Linked DNA regions of Lonchura striata. The main gene of each other region encodes a partner of the protein of the gene in region 2 in a complex. Links are inferred from orthologs where the notes say so. Each region holds a gene or a part of one and is shown on either strand. Other genes may lie near its edges.

The links. The genes of interacting proteins can lie anywhere in the genome.
Region 1: PLRG1 (region 2) and SNRPG share a complex: the UniProt entries of both Homo sapiens proteins name them as parts of the minor spliceosome. The link is inferred for Lonchura striata from reciprocal best matches to the Homo sapiens genes PLRG1 and SNRPG.

What each region holds. Positions count from the first base shown.
Region 1 is NC_134634.1:399,337-406,257, reverse strand, and holds SNRPG (small nuclear ribonucleoprotein G), read left to right. Parts: upstream 1-4,211; 5' UTR 4,212-4,249; coding exon 4,250-4,281; intron 4,282-4,465; coding exon 4,466-4,488; intron 4,489-5,212; coding exon 5,213-5,337; intron 5,338-6,164; coding exon 6,165-6,215; 3' UTR 6,216-6,335; downstream 6,336-6,921. Other genes in the region: protein FAM136A, read left to right, coding at 845-931, 2,584-2,724, 3,201-3,389. UniProt on the Homo sapiens protein: Plays a role in pre-mRNA splicing as a core component of the spliceosomal U1, U2, U4 and U5 small nuclear ribonucleoproteins (snRNPs), the building blocks of the spliceosome.
Region 2 is NC_134606.1:42,269,659-42,277,418, forward strand, and holds the start of PLRG1 (pleiotropic regulator 1), read left to right. Parts: upstream 1-4,710; 5' UTR 4,711-4,768; coding exon 4,769-4,777; intron 4,778-6,443; coding exon 6,444-6,550; intron 6,551-6,774; coding exon 6,775-6,917; intron 6,918-7,760. UniProt on the Homo sapiens protein: Involved in pre-mRNA splicing as component of the spliceosome. Component of the PRP19-CDC5L complex that forms an integral part of the spliceosome and is required for activating pre-mRNA splicing.

The sequences.
Region 1 (6,921 bases), on a different chromosome or scaffold from region 2:
GGTTTTCCTCAGGTTTTGGGGCGGTTCCCCTCCTGTTTGGGGCGGGTTTTTGAACGATTCTCCTCAGGTTTGGGGCCGGTTTTGGGGCGGGTTTTTGGGGCTGTTCCCCCCAGATTTGGGGTGGATTTTGGGGCGGTTCCCCTCAGGTTTGGGGCGGGTTTTGGGGCGGTTCCCCTCAGGTTTTGGGGCGGTTTTCCTCAGTTTTGGGGCGGGTTTTTGAACGATTCTCCTCAGGTTTGGGGTGGGTTTTGGGGTGGGTTTTGGGGTGGTTCCTCTTAGGTTTTGGGGCGGATTTTGGGACGATTCTCCTCAGGTTTGGGGCGGATTTTGGGGCAGTTTTCCTCAGGTTTGGGGTGGGTTTTTGGGACGGTTTCCCTCACGTTTGGGGCGGGTTTTTGGGACGATTCTCGTCAGTTTTGGGGCGGGTTTAGGGCGGTTCGGGGCGAGGTTTAGGGCGGGATTAGGGTGGGATTAGGGCGGGTTTAAGGCGGGTTTAGGACGGGTTTAGGGCGGGTTCAGGGCGGGTTTAAGGCGGGTTCAGGGCGGGTTTAAGGCGGGTTCAGGGCGGGTTTAAGGCGGATTTAGGGCGGGTTTAAGGCGGATTTAGGGCGGGTTCAGGGCGGGTTTAGGGCGGGTTTAAGGCGGATTTAGGGCGGGTTCAGGGCGGGTTTAAGGCGGGTTTAAGGCGGATTTAGGGCGGGTTCAGGGCGGGTTTAAGGCGGATTTAAGGCGGGTTCAGGGCGGGTTCAGGGCGGGTTTAAGGTGGGTTTAAGGCGGGTTCAGGGCGGGTTTAAGGTGGGTTTAAGGCGGGTCCAGGGCGGGTTTAAGGCGGGTTCAGGGGGCCATGGCGGAGGCGGCGCAGGGCCGGGTGCAGGCCGCGGTGGAGAGCGCGGTGCAGGGGCTGGAGCGGGAGCAGATCCGCGCCATGCAGGTACCGGGACACCGGGGGACACCGGGGGACACCGGGGGACACCGGGGGACACCGGGGGACACGCCGGGAGGGGTCCGCGCCCGCCCGGGGCTGCGGCGGTACCCCCGACCCCAACACACGTGGGTGCCCCGGGCAGCGCCGGGAGCGGCCCCGAGACCCCCCCCAAACCACTGAGATCCCCCCAAATTCAATACACAGGCTGAGACCCCCCCCCAAATCACTGAGATCCCCCCAAATTCAATACACAGGCTGAGACCCCCCCCAAATCACCGAGATCCCCCCAAATTCAATACACAGGCTGAGACCCCCCCAAATCACTGAGATCCCCCCAAATTCATTACACACCCTGAGACCCCCCCAAACCACTGAGATCCCCCCAAATTCAATACACAGGCTGAGACCCCCCCCCAAATTCAATACACACCCTGAGACCCCCCCCAAATCACTGAGATCCCCCCAAATTCAATACACACCCTGAGATCCCCCCCAAATCACTGAGATCCCCCCAAATTCATTACACACCCTGAGACCCCCCCCCCAAATCACTGAGATCCCCCCAAATTCATTACACACCCTGAGACCCCCCCCAAATCACTGAGATCCCCCCAAATTCAATACACAGGCTGAGACTCCCCCCCAAATCACTGAAATCCCCCCAAATTCAATACATACCCTGAGACCCCCCTCCCAAATCACTGAAATCCCCCCAAATTCATTGTGACCTCCTCCCATACACACCCTGAGACCTCCCCAAATCACTGAGACCCCCCCAAATCACTGAAATCCCCCCAAATTCAATACACAGGCTGAGACCCCCCCCAAATCACTGAGATCCCCCCAAATTCATTGTGACCTCCTCCCATACACACCCTGAGACCCCCCATACACACCCTGAGACCTCCCCCAAATCACTGAAATCCCCCCAAATTAATTGTGACCCCCTCCCATACACACCCTGACACCCCTCAAATCACTGAGACCTCCCCCTCAAATTCCCTGACACCCCCGCAATTCACTGAAACCCCCCCAAATTCATTGTGACCTCCCTATACACCTCCTGAGATCCCCCAAATCACTGTGACCCCCCCAAATTCATTGCGACCCCCTCCCATACACACCCTGACACCCCCTAAACCACTGAGACCCCCCCCCAAATTCCATTCTCTGTGCCCCCCAGTTCATTCCCTGTGCCCCCCCCTGCTCAGGGCACACCCGGCTGGTCCCCCCAAGGGGGCTGGGACCCCCAGACTGACCCCACTGACCCCTTGTGACCCCCCCTTCCCTCCATGGCCCTGGGGGTCACCCTTCTCCACCGTGTCCCCAGTGTCCCCCTCACCTGGGAGTGTCCCCGGAGTGTCCCCAGGGTGCCCCCCATTAACCCCCTGACCCTTGGTGCCCCTGGGGTGTACCCCCTTGTCCCGTGTTTCCCCATTAACCCCTCATGCCCCATGTCCCCAGAGTGTCCTCTGTTTTCCCTGTGTCCCCTGTTTCCCCGTTAACCCCTCATGCCCCGTGTCCCCAGGGTGTCCCCTATTAACTCCTCGTGCCCTGTGTCCCCCGTTAACCCCTCATGCCCCGTGTCCCCAGGGTGTCCCCTATTAATTCCTCGTGCCCTGTGTCCCCCGTTAACCCCTCGTGCCCCGTGTCCCCAGGGCGCCATGTTCCGCTGCAGCGCGCGCTGCTGCGAGGACGCAGCGGCCTCCATGCAGGAGGTGCAGCGCTGCATCGAGCGCTGCCACGCGCCCCTGGCCCGCGCCCAGGCCATCGTCACCGCCGAGCTGGAGCAGTTCCAGGTGAGCGCAGGCACCAGGACCCCTGGGACAGCACCGGGACCCCGCCTGGGACCCCTGGGACAGCACTGGGACCCCGCCTGGGACCCCTGGGACAGCACCGGGACCCACCCTGGGACCCCTGGGACAGCACCGGGACCCTCTGGGACAGCACCGGGACCCCTGGGACCTCTGGGACAGCACCAGGACCCTCTGGGACAGCACCGGGACCCCTGGGACCCCTGAGACAGCGCCAGGACCCACCCTGGAACCCCTGGGGACAGCACCAGGACCCCTGGGACAGCATCAGGATCCTGCCTGGGACCCCTGGGACAGCACTGGGACCCCTGGGGACAGCACTGGAACCCCCTGAGACCCCTGGGGACAGCACTGGGACCCTAGGCAGGACATGAACCCCACCCCAGTCCCTCCCCTGATCCCCCCAATGTGCTCCCAGTCCCCCCATTCTCCCCCAGCCCCGCTGACCCTGCTGCCCCCAGGACCGGCTGAGCCGCTGCTCGCTGCAGTGCTCGGACCAGGCCAAGGACGCGCTGGACGCGGGGGGCTCGGAGCCGCGTGTGCGGGGCCAGCTGGATGCCTGCCTGGCCACCTGCGGGGAGCAGCACCTGCGCCTCGTGCCCGCCATGGCCAGGAAGATGCGGGACGGGCTGGCCAGCATCCAGCAGTGACCGCGGGGGCACCCCGGGGACACCCCGGGGACACCCCGGGACACCCCGCGCTCATTAAAGGCCAGGTGGCAGCTCCACCGACCGCGGGCGTGCTGGGGGACTGGGGGTGATGGGGGAACTGGGGGTGATTGGGTGGCATTGGCAGTGATTGAGGCACAGGGTGATGGGGGGAACTGGGGGTGATTGGGGGACTGGGGGGCACTGCGGGTTATGGGGGGACAGGGGGAACTGGGGGTTATGGGGGAAACTGAGGGTAATGGGGGCATGGGAGGTATGGGGGCACTGGGGGAACAGGGTGATGTGGGGGACTGGGGGTGATTTGGGCAGTGGGGAACGGGGGCACTGAGGAACTGGGGGTGAGGGGGTGGATGTTGAGGAGACACTGCAGGAGATGGGGGCACTGGGGGTGATGGGGGAACTGGGGGGCACTGGGAGCAATGGGGGCTGTGAGGGGGTGACGGGCTGGGTGCTGAGGGAACTCTGCAGATAAGGGGGGGCATTGGGGGGTGATGCTCACACACGGGCACACACACACACGTGTGCACATGTGGACACACACACACGACACACGTGTGCGCTCACACACGTGTGCACACACACACACACTCACACACATGCGCACTCACGCCCCCAGCACGCGCCCCGCCGCGCCGCCCGCATGGCGGCCATGCCGCCGTACCTCCCCGTGTAGCCGCGCACTCCCCTCACCGACCCCTGCATCCCCCCGCTGCCTCGCCCCTGCCGCGCCGCTACTCGGGTGAGTGCGGGAGCGCGCCGCGGGCCGCCATTGGCCGGCGCGGGGAGACGCACGGCGCGCTGACGTCAGAGCGCGGCAGGGACGGCCGGGGGCTGCGGGCGCCATGAGCAAAGCGCACCCGCCCGAGCTGAAAAAGTGCGGCCGGGGACGAGCGGGGCGAGGGCAGCCGGGGCCCGGGCGGGGGGAAGTGGGGGCCGCTGCTGCCCGGTACTCCGGTGCAACGGCGGCGGGGGACGCGCGGTCGCTGTGGGGATAATGGCGGGGGGGCTCCTGCCCCGTCGCCACCCGCCGGCGCTCACCCGCTGCCGTCTCCTTGCAGGTTCATGGACAAGAAGCTGTCGTGTGAGTTCTGGAGCGGATCTCGTCCTGGTCCCCCTCACGGTGCCCGGGGGCCCCATCCCGCCCCGATCCCTCTCACGGTTCCTGGGACCCCCGCCCCAGTCCCGCTCAGGGTGTCCCGGGACTCTCCCCCACCCCGATCCCCTCACGGTGCTCAGGCAGGGACCCCAATGCCGATCCCGTCACGGTGCCCGGAGACCCCCGCCCCGATCCCCATCACGGTGCTTAGGGACCCCCGCCCCCATTCCCATCAGGGTGTCCCAGGACCCCCGCCCCAATCCCCTCACGGTGCCCAGGTAGGGACCCCCATCCCAATCCCTCTCACGGTGCCCTGGGACCCCCGATCCCCTTCACGCCCACCGCTGTTGGGGACCCACCCCCCAACAATGCCCCGTTTTGGGGACCCTCCACAGCCCCGTTTCCCTCTCGTGGCCCCGCTGTGGGAGTCTCCTGAGCCCCCCACCCGGTTTTTGGGGACCCCGCCCACCCCTCACAGAGCCCAGATAAGAGGTCCCGGCTGCTGATTTCCGACCTTAGAGCGCATGAATTAAAATTCTAATTCATTCATTAATAATTCATTAATTAACTAGAACACGGGTTGAAAATTCGCTCTGTTCCCCCTGTCCCATTAACGGGTTGTGCTCAGTCGTTCCCATTCCCCCCGCTGGTTTTGGGGGGTGCACGGCCCCGTTGTGGGGTGCCCGCGCTCAGGCCCCGCTCCCCGCAGTGAAGCTGAACGGCGGGCGGCACGTGCAGGGCATCCTGCGCGGCTTCGACCCCTTCATGAACCTCGTCATCGACGAGTGCGTGGAGATGGCGGCGGGCGGGCAGCAGAACAACATCGGCATGGTGGTGAGGCACTGGGAGCACTGGGAGTGAGAGCACTGGGAGCGGGGTGGTGAGAGCACTGGGAGTGGGGTGGTGAGGGTACTGGTAGTACTGGGAGCAGGGCAGTGAGGGCACTGGGAGCATTGGGAGTCAGGTGGTGAGGGTACTGGGAATACTGGAAGCAGGGTGGTGAGGCACTGGGAGTACTGGGACAGGGTGGTGAGGGCACTGAGAGCACTGGGAGCACTGGGAGCAGGGCAGTGAGGGCACTGGGAGCACTGGGAGTCGGGTGGTGAGGGTACTGGGAATACTGGAAGCAGGGTGGTGAGGCACTGGGAGTACTGGGAGTGGGGTGGTGAGGGCACTGGTAGTACTGGGAGCAGGGCAGTGAGGGCACTGGGAGCACTGGGAGTCGGGTGGTGAGGGTACTGGGAATACTGGAAGCAGGGTGGTGAGGCACTGGGAGTACTGGGACAGGGTGGTGAGGTCACTGGGAGTACTGGGAGTGGGGTGGTGAGGGCACTGGGAGTACTGGGAGGAGGGTGGTGTGTGCGACTGGGCGTACTGGGCATAGGGTGGTGAGGGCACAGGGAACACTGGGGGCACTGGGACAGGGTGGTGAGAGCACTGGGAGTACTGGGAGCAGGGTGGTGAGTGCACCTGGAGCACTGGGAGGTCTTTTCCACTCTCAAGGATTCTGGTATCCTGTGATCCTTGAGGATTTCGGGTTAAAATCAGTCTATTTTGGCTTTTGTGAGGAGGAAATTCCAGCCAAATTTTCTGGGATTTTTGGGAAAACAAACTGGAAGGAAGGAACCCTTAGGTAACAGCTCTCACCTTGCCCCTTCCAGGTGATCCGAGGGAACAGCATCATCATGCTGGAAGCTTTGGAACGAGTATAAACCCCTGGAAAACCCCAAGTCCTCACCCACTGCTTCCGTTCCCTCGTCCAAAATGCCGCCCACGAGTGTACAATTATTTTGATTGTGTTATTAAATCAATTTTGTAATGGTTGACCCAAATCAAGCCTTTGTCGCACCAGTTTTTGGCAGCTCAGCGGTAATTCTGTTCCCGATCCTGGTACAACTTTTATTTATGGAAGTGGGTGTTCAATTTATACTATTTCTGGTGGTTTTTTTACTTAAAACACACTTGGGTTATTAAATTCTTTATTAACTTCGTACCTGAACACGGCCGTGGATGTTGGTGGTTCTCCCTCTTTCCCACTTATTTTCCCCCAGTTCCCACCCTGAGGAATAATTCCTTGGCAGAGCCTTGGGAAAAGTTGGGGCAGAGGGATGGACAGCCAGGGAGTCAATATTCCCAGCTGGAGGGCACTTTGGGGGTCAATATGGCACTTTTAATGAATTCCCTACCTCAGACAGGGCTAAATCAAGGAAAACTGAGGAAAACTCATGGATTTGTGTGAGGAAAACGTCCCAGCTTACTTGGGAACTCTTCACTGCTCCTGCTCCCTCTAGAGCTGGCCAAACAGCTTCCAGGTGGCACCAGGGGACATCAGGATGAGATATTGGGAAGAATTTTGTCATGGCAGGAAGGGTTGTCCAGCCTAGGTTGTGGCAGAGTCGGCATCCCTGGAAGTGTCCA
Region 2 (7,760 bases):
TTAATTTGCTGGTTTCCTTTTTTAATACAAAAATTGCATCTTTCAAATATTATTTAAATGTTTTTAATAATTTCTTGAGACAATAACAGCATGAAGTTACTTGAAATCATAGTGAAATGCTCAAACATACTTTCTAATATTTTATAGGAACTTGCATATCATAGATCTTATATTGGCAGAGTTTTAACATTTCAGTGTGTTTATATATTGTGATTTTCTCAGGCGTTATAAATGACTATAATATACAGAATTAAATTAAATCTGCCAAGTGGAGCCAGCACACTTTTCTGAAGTCATTCATATCAATGTCTGAAACAATGAAGGGATGTAGACTGTGGTCTAAGCTTCCATTTCAAAGACTAACATGATGGAGAGGAGGATTTTACAGGAATCAAAGATAAGAACAGCTAAAATGTATTGGTTTAGACCTTTTTCCTGTATTGATGCTGTTGTCAGAATTCTAGTAAACTACAGAGATTCACAAAATATGAAAACTGTTTAACCTGACTGGTTTAATTATTAAACATTTTGGCCCCAAATCAGCCATGGCTCAAGGAGCTGAAACTCCACTGAACTGGATCTGCATGAGGACAGCACCAACACTATTAGATTTGGAAGAACACAAACTTCTCCCTAAGACATTAAGAAATCTGTCTATGGCCAAAACTGACATAATTAACAAGTTATTTCCACTTATGGATGCTAGCCAAGATGTTATCATTGGTTTTGGGAATATCCTAACTTTTAATACAGTTTTCCCTCCATGTACCTCTGAGGGAAGTTCAGCCACTCTCATCTTTCATATGGAAGGGACATAATCCTTGAACCTCTGTCCAGGGCTTATGAGCAGCCTGTGATACAGTGGAACTAAAACTAGGTCTCACTATTCCTGAGCTAGAAACTCAAATTATCCCAGCTCAGTTCACACAAATCTTAATTAAATGTTAATAATATCAAGTGATATTTGTGCGAAATCTGTTTTGAAACTATCAGCATGTTCTTCAGTAATTTATGGTGCTCTCTTTCAGGCATTAAGCTCTCTTTAGCGCCTGATGGAGAGCCCTGGCTGTGTCTGTGCAGAAGCTGTCAGAGACTGCATGATGAGAGTTGGTGCAGGAGCCACCAAGCCAACTGCAGAGCCCAAGCATGGGAAACCCCCAGGCTTATTCTGCCTTAGATGGGATTTGCCCTTTGAAACTCAGCCTTTGACCTCCAGTACCTTTCATAGGCTTCCCTAGGAGAGCTGGGTGGTGGTGTCTCCACAAGGATTCTCCATGAGCAACACGTGTATGTCACACCCCAGCAGGCTGGGGCTACCTGCCAAATGACCAGATGCCTCAGGGCAGGGATCGTGTGACTGTCCATCTGTAAGCAAGGGCCTTGTCTGCACTGCAGAGGTTGTGCCTGGAGGCTTTTAGCAACAAAAACGGTCCAAATTTGGACTGACATAAAGAGGAGTCTATCCTGGCAAACACACACACATACAGGAAAGCATTTTGGCAGCAGAAGTTAATCTCCATTAGCATCTCAGTTATGAGATGTGATTTACTCTCATGCTTGAAACCATTACAGTCAGGTTGACGCTTTATAGAGATTGAATAAAACCTTATGAAGAACCAAAACTATAGCTTACATTTCTTCGAAAAATGGTATCAAAGAAGTACTCTCTTCAAAACAGAACAACCTCTTTTCCTTCATACTCCCTCCTCCAACTGACGTGGTTAAAGAGAAGGTGTTCCCAGAGGTAATGTGGTGGTGATACCACAGCATGTCTGCTAGAAACTGCAATAATACTCCATGGATCTGTTTGTGTTCCAGGACACCCCTGTGTACAGTATTTTTTATTAAAAAGGCACTTACTGGCAGAGGCGTGTGTGTGTTTTGAGGAACGGCTGTTTGCCTGCTGCCCTGGTGTTTGTAGTGCTGGCCAGTGATGCAACCCTCTTTACACAAACCCCCCGACCCAGGCGAGCCGTGATCACCAGATCATGGCTCTTCAGAGCTGGATGCATCCCCAAAGGAGGTCTTGGGGAACAGAACCTTCTTGGCTTACACTGAGCTATAGCGTTTCAATTTAAAAATAGCTGTTGATTTAGAAATGTCCTTTTAAAACAGTTGTGTTGTAATAGTGCCATCCTATGAAAAGAATATTGTAAACTTAAACGTTCACCTCTGCTGAGATGAACATCCTTCTTATTTGCTTTTACTGGTAGCAAATATTACTTCAAAGATTTCTTGTAAATGATCGTGAATGCTATCTCAATGTTCTGGGAGCAACATTAATGACTGGGCTATTCACTTTGGCTTTCATATAACACTAAAAGTTCATCCAATTTGTTAGTCACCTTCTATGAAATAGTGCTTATAAAATAATACATTGTTAGCTATTTCCAGAATTGCAGCTGTAGCTGACATGCAAGCACACATCAAGTCATACGTAACAAAGAAAATTAATGAAGTGCATATTCTTATTAATATTACTGTCATGATTTATTGATGTTCCAGGTCTAAATTTCACCCTAGACTAAACCTTCTAGGGAAAAAAAAATAAATTTGTCCCCTAACTGGATTCTGAAAACTCTGAAAAGATGAATTTGTCCTCTGAGTTTCTAAAGCATTACCAGGATAACAGGAAACAAATTCAGGTTATAAATTTCTGAGGGGAATGTTTATGTGTAAAAAAAAATAGGAAAACTACAGCAACTCCAGGGCCATGTGAATACTTCTATTGATAGTAATAACAAGTGCAGACAAGTTTTCTCGCTAAATATAATTTTTAAAATTTTGCTACCAGAGTGCATATTTCAAATTTTGTTTCCCTTTAAAAAGCAGTGGAAATAAATCTGATTTCTTTCAACAGAAAATAGGAAAGAAACAACTCTATAAACAGCCAGAGACTACCCTTTAAACCATTTCCACACATCAAATCCACCAGTCAACTGAGTGATCAAGCAGGCACATGCTATTCTGCGTGCAACTTTAAAAAAGAAAGATAAACCTATTTGAAATTCTGAGCTCTCTCCAAGTTTCCTTTCAAATGTTGTGTATCTTCAGTCTAACCTCATCAGCCCAAGAGGATGTAAGAGACTTGCCCCATTTTGACACACTGCCCTGTGGAGTTTGCACTCTAGGTTGCACTTTAAGCAAGGGCAGACAAAGCTCCCTCTCTGCGAGATGCTGTGCTGGTGTTTATGGCAAGCTCTGAAATCTAACGGGGATTGCCAGCCACACCAGAGGTAATACCAAAATAGGCTGGCTTGTTAAACATGAAACCTGCCTGCCTTGGCTTGAAGCTGAGCTGGCAATAGTTCCCCACTACTGACACAATGTAATTGGCATCTTTTCCCGACTCTACCTAGAACGGGAGATGGGGCTCAAAGCCACTTCGAGCACGTTTCCATCACTGTATCCTAAATTACTAAATACAAAGCACCAGCGCAGCCACCAGAAGTGACCCACCAACTGCAGAAAAGACACGATATTTATGTCAAGTAGGCAAGCTGTGTGCCAGAAATGCCAAGCTAACGCTGTCCTGTAGAAGACAGCAGTTTTGAACCAGCTATGTTGCACTGAATTACTTCTAGCTCAGATGGTTTTGCAAACTGTTCACAGCTCAGGCATGCAGGCAAGCAGACAGAGCGAGTGGCTGGTTTGGTGGTAAAGAAGAGCATCATGACGGAGTGGCTGCAAAAGATGAGCTTGCCAAATCCCAGCTACTGCTCAGGAGGACAAGACTTCTTAAAATTAAGAACAGGTGAGTATATGTGGAGAAAGTAGGTGCCTATTTGAAATTTGCACAAATGCATTTAGTTATTCTGCTCACAAATGGAAGTGAAATACCTGGTGGACTAACAGGGTACGTTTGTAATAGAATTATAGCCTCTGCCCTTTCACAGCCAACACTTTGACATGAAGTACAGGGGTCGCCAGCTTGTTCACACCCTTTGCTCTTCATCAAAATGAGGTCCTGTGGAGCCAAACTAAAGACACCCTTCCCAAAAGATCAGCTATAATGGCTAACATCCAATATCGCCGCAGTTCAACACCGTATGGCTTTACCCTTGAGAACTCACGAGGAAAGCAACACATGAACCCTGTAGCCCCACGGCCCTAAACACTTGCAAAGTGCGATAGTTTCAGGCCCAAGGAAGCGGGACTGCCCAGCCCAGGCTCGATCCCGCATCCTGCGGGGCAGCGCTCGGGCCGGGCCGCTCCCGCCTCTCCGCAGCGCCACACCGCCCTCTGCCGGCCGCCGGCCGCACTGCGCCGCGCCCGCCGCCGGGGACAGCGCGCCCCGGGATGGCCGCGGATGGCTCCGGCCGGAGGGACCGCAGTGAGTGCGGTCATCGGATCCCGCCGGGCCATCCCGGAGCATGCGGCACAGGGCTGCGATTATCTCCAGTGATGGAGACTCCGCCACTTCTCTGTGCCGCTTTCCCCATGCTCAGGTGGAACTTCCTGTGCATGAGGTTCTGCCCACTGCCTCTTGTCCTGTTGCTTGGCACCACCGACAGAGCCTGGTTTCATTCTCCTGTCACCACCCCTCTCTATATTTGTACACATTGCTGAAGTGACTCGCACCGGCTGCTCCGGTAGCGCCAGCGGGGCTCGAACCCTGAACCACCGCACAGCGAGTGGAGGGGTTGCCATAAGCCCCGCCCCGCCGCTTCGGCGCCTCCGCCCGGGCTCAGGCGTCACTTCCGGCCCGGCGCGGGAAGGCGCCGGAAGTGGCTCCAGAGCGGCCGCGGCGGGGGAGCCCGGCGGCGCCATGGCGGAGGTGAGGCACGGGGAGCGGCCCCGCGCCTTCGCTCTGTCGCGGCCTGCAGACGCTCCGGGCGAGACCAGGGAGCGGGAGCGGGTTGGGGCCGGGCGGGAGAAGCGCCGCCCTGCACCCTCGCAGTCCCCGGGTGGGAAAGGGCTGTAGGGATGGTCCGTGGCGGCCCCTCCATCTGCGCGGCCCCGCCCGCTGCGGCCCGGGGACAGCGAGGTGCGGGTCGGAGTGTGCGTGTGTGGCCGGGAGTGAGCAGCGGCTTTGCTTTGCCAGACTTGTGCCGAATGCCGGCGCTGGGGCCCATCGGGCCGCCAGCTCGTCACCAGAGGGGATTGTCCCGCTCTGCTCTGGGGCGGTCTCACCTCGAGTGCTGGGGTTTGTTTTGGGTACCACAACATCGGGAAAAGGTATAAAGCATATGGAGATGAATAGTCAGAATGAATGGTCGGAGTGAGGAATGGATGAAGTCGTTTGCCATATTCAGCCTGGAGGAGAGGGTGAAGGGAAACTTCATTTCAGTTTACAGCTTCCTCTCGAGGGGAAAGCAGAGGAGCAGGCTCCGATCTGATCGTGGATCCGATCTGTGGTGGTCCAAGAGAATGGCCTGAAGCTGTGTCAGGGGAGGTTTAGGTTGGATATCAGGCAAAGGTCAGGGTGGAGGGGTGCTTGAACAGGCTCCCAGGGAAGTGATCACAGCAGCAAGGCTGACAGAGTTCAATGAGCATTTGAACAATGCTCTTGGGCACAGAGGATGTGCCTCTTGGGGTGTCCTATGCAGGGCCAGGAGCTGGACTCCGTGATCCCTGTAAGCCACTTCCAGCTCAGTACATTCTGTTCTGTGATTGTGGGGAAGTGATGCTGTGATGTTTAACCACCAGAAACCTACTGCTGACTCTGTCAGCCAGCTTCTTTTGTGAGGCCTTGCGAGCACACCTGTGGAGGAGGCCACTGGTTTTACAGGTGGTAGAATCTTTACTGTGGAGTGAATATCATGCACTTCTGAAGGCATGTGGGGCTGTCAGAGTTGTAGAAGAAGGTGCAACAACTGCTGCCTGATGCAACACTATGAGCTATTTTTTTTCAAAAAGCATCCATCAAAAATTACTTGCAGCAAGTTTCTTCCCTGTTGGGGAGACATGGTGGTACCTACTCCTCTGTTTGTCAACAGCTGCTGTTTTTGGGTGGTGATTAGCCATGTTAACATGAAGTGGTACTGTACATAGAAATTAATGACTGCTCATGTTCTTTTCACAGTGGTAGTGAAGGAAAATGTACAGGTGGTTTTTGTTTGTTTGTTTGTTTTTCTGAATTGGCTTCTATATTGCTTACATATGAAAACAGAACTGGGAAGGACGTGGGATAAAAGCTTTTATATTCATGGATTTGTCATGTAAATGCCAGTGCAGAAAGTTGGATTAAAGTTTTTGGCTTGCTTTTCAAATTCTTGTAAGTTTTCAAGGAATAGAATACAGTTTTGAATAAACACTGAAGTAAAACAACTGACATAATAACTTAACTTTTTAGTTTCCAAGAATATTAGTGTCTTCTGTGAACCAAATGGTTGCATGTCATAGAACTGAGAAATTGCTACTCAGTTCAATTTATGTTTCAGTTTTCAGTTTTTGATGTAGATCTGTTCAAACTTATTTAAATACTCTTTTCTTTATTTTAGGAAGTGCAAAAGCATTCTGTGCACACACTTGTGTTCAGGTCTTTGAAGAGAACCCATGACATGTTTGTAGCTGATAATGCCAAACCTATCCCATTGGATGAAGAAAGGTAAGTGCTGCTGCACTCAGTGAAGTTTTAAACTCTGTCAGTGATTGCTCCACCCAAGTCAGAAATTCAGATATTTCTGTACTGGCAACAGTGTAGTTTTGAGGGGAGAGAAATATTAGGGTTGTAAAGTTAAGTTTTATGACATCCTCTCTAAGATATTTCAAAACCTGGTAGCGGTTCAGAAAGTGGGGTTCAGTGAGGATTTTGCTTTTCTCTTGCCACAGTCACAAGGTGAAGATGGCTGTCAAGCTGCGCACGGAGTACGGCTCAGTGCTGCACATGCCCACGCTCAAAGAGAACCTGAGGGAGAAAGGAGGCGCCAACACGGGGGATCCCTATGGACACAAACAGTATTCTGGAAATCAAGGTTAGTTGGCCCCTAGTGCTATATTTGTTCTTTCTTTTGTAACAGTCTCAGTGATGTAAAATCTTCAGAATGCAGTCTAGCGTTAATCCACTGGAGATAAATGCAGAAATCAAAAAAAACCCTTTTTTGATTGGTATTTTTTTGCTAGGGTCCACAGGTGGTAAGTGATTCAGAAATCACTTTGCTTTTAACAAAGGAGTTATTGGGTGCTGTGGATTTTTATAGTGATGAATTAGTAAAAAGAGTAATTTTTGGTAACATTAGTGTGTGGAGTTGTTAGTGTATTAGGTGTTACAGTTGAGTAATGTATTTCTTATGTTTGCAAGTTCATGATGGTTAAGGACGTGCTCTTTGGTTGACTTTTGTTTGCTTAGGCATTTTTGTGCGTTGTTTTTTGTTTGGGATGGTTTTTTGTTATTTTGTTTCATAGTATATTTACAGTCTTTTAGCTGTGCAATTTTTAAACCAGAAAATGCTTTATTTCAAATCTGTAGAGTTTATTTAAATATGTGTTTTGTAATGTATAAAATGTGGATGTATTAGGTAGATACCATATGAAAATTACAGACAGCCAAATGACTAGCTTACGTTTCAGACACCCGTGCTGTTTGAATACATGGTATCTGCTTCAAAGGCAGCATGAAGATTTTTTTTCTTGAGTCCTCTTGATAACAGGTCGCTTCACCATTCAAATTAATTGTTTTTTTACAGTTGAGTTTTCTAAAATGGAGATAACCAGAACAACTTAAATTAATGAAAATGAGAAATGTCTAACTACATTGGAGGTGGTTACCAGTTTCTTTTGCTGTGTATGATCTGCTCTCTTTTCCTCTATTTGCTGTT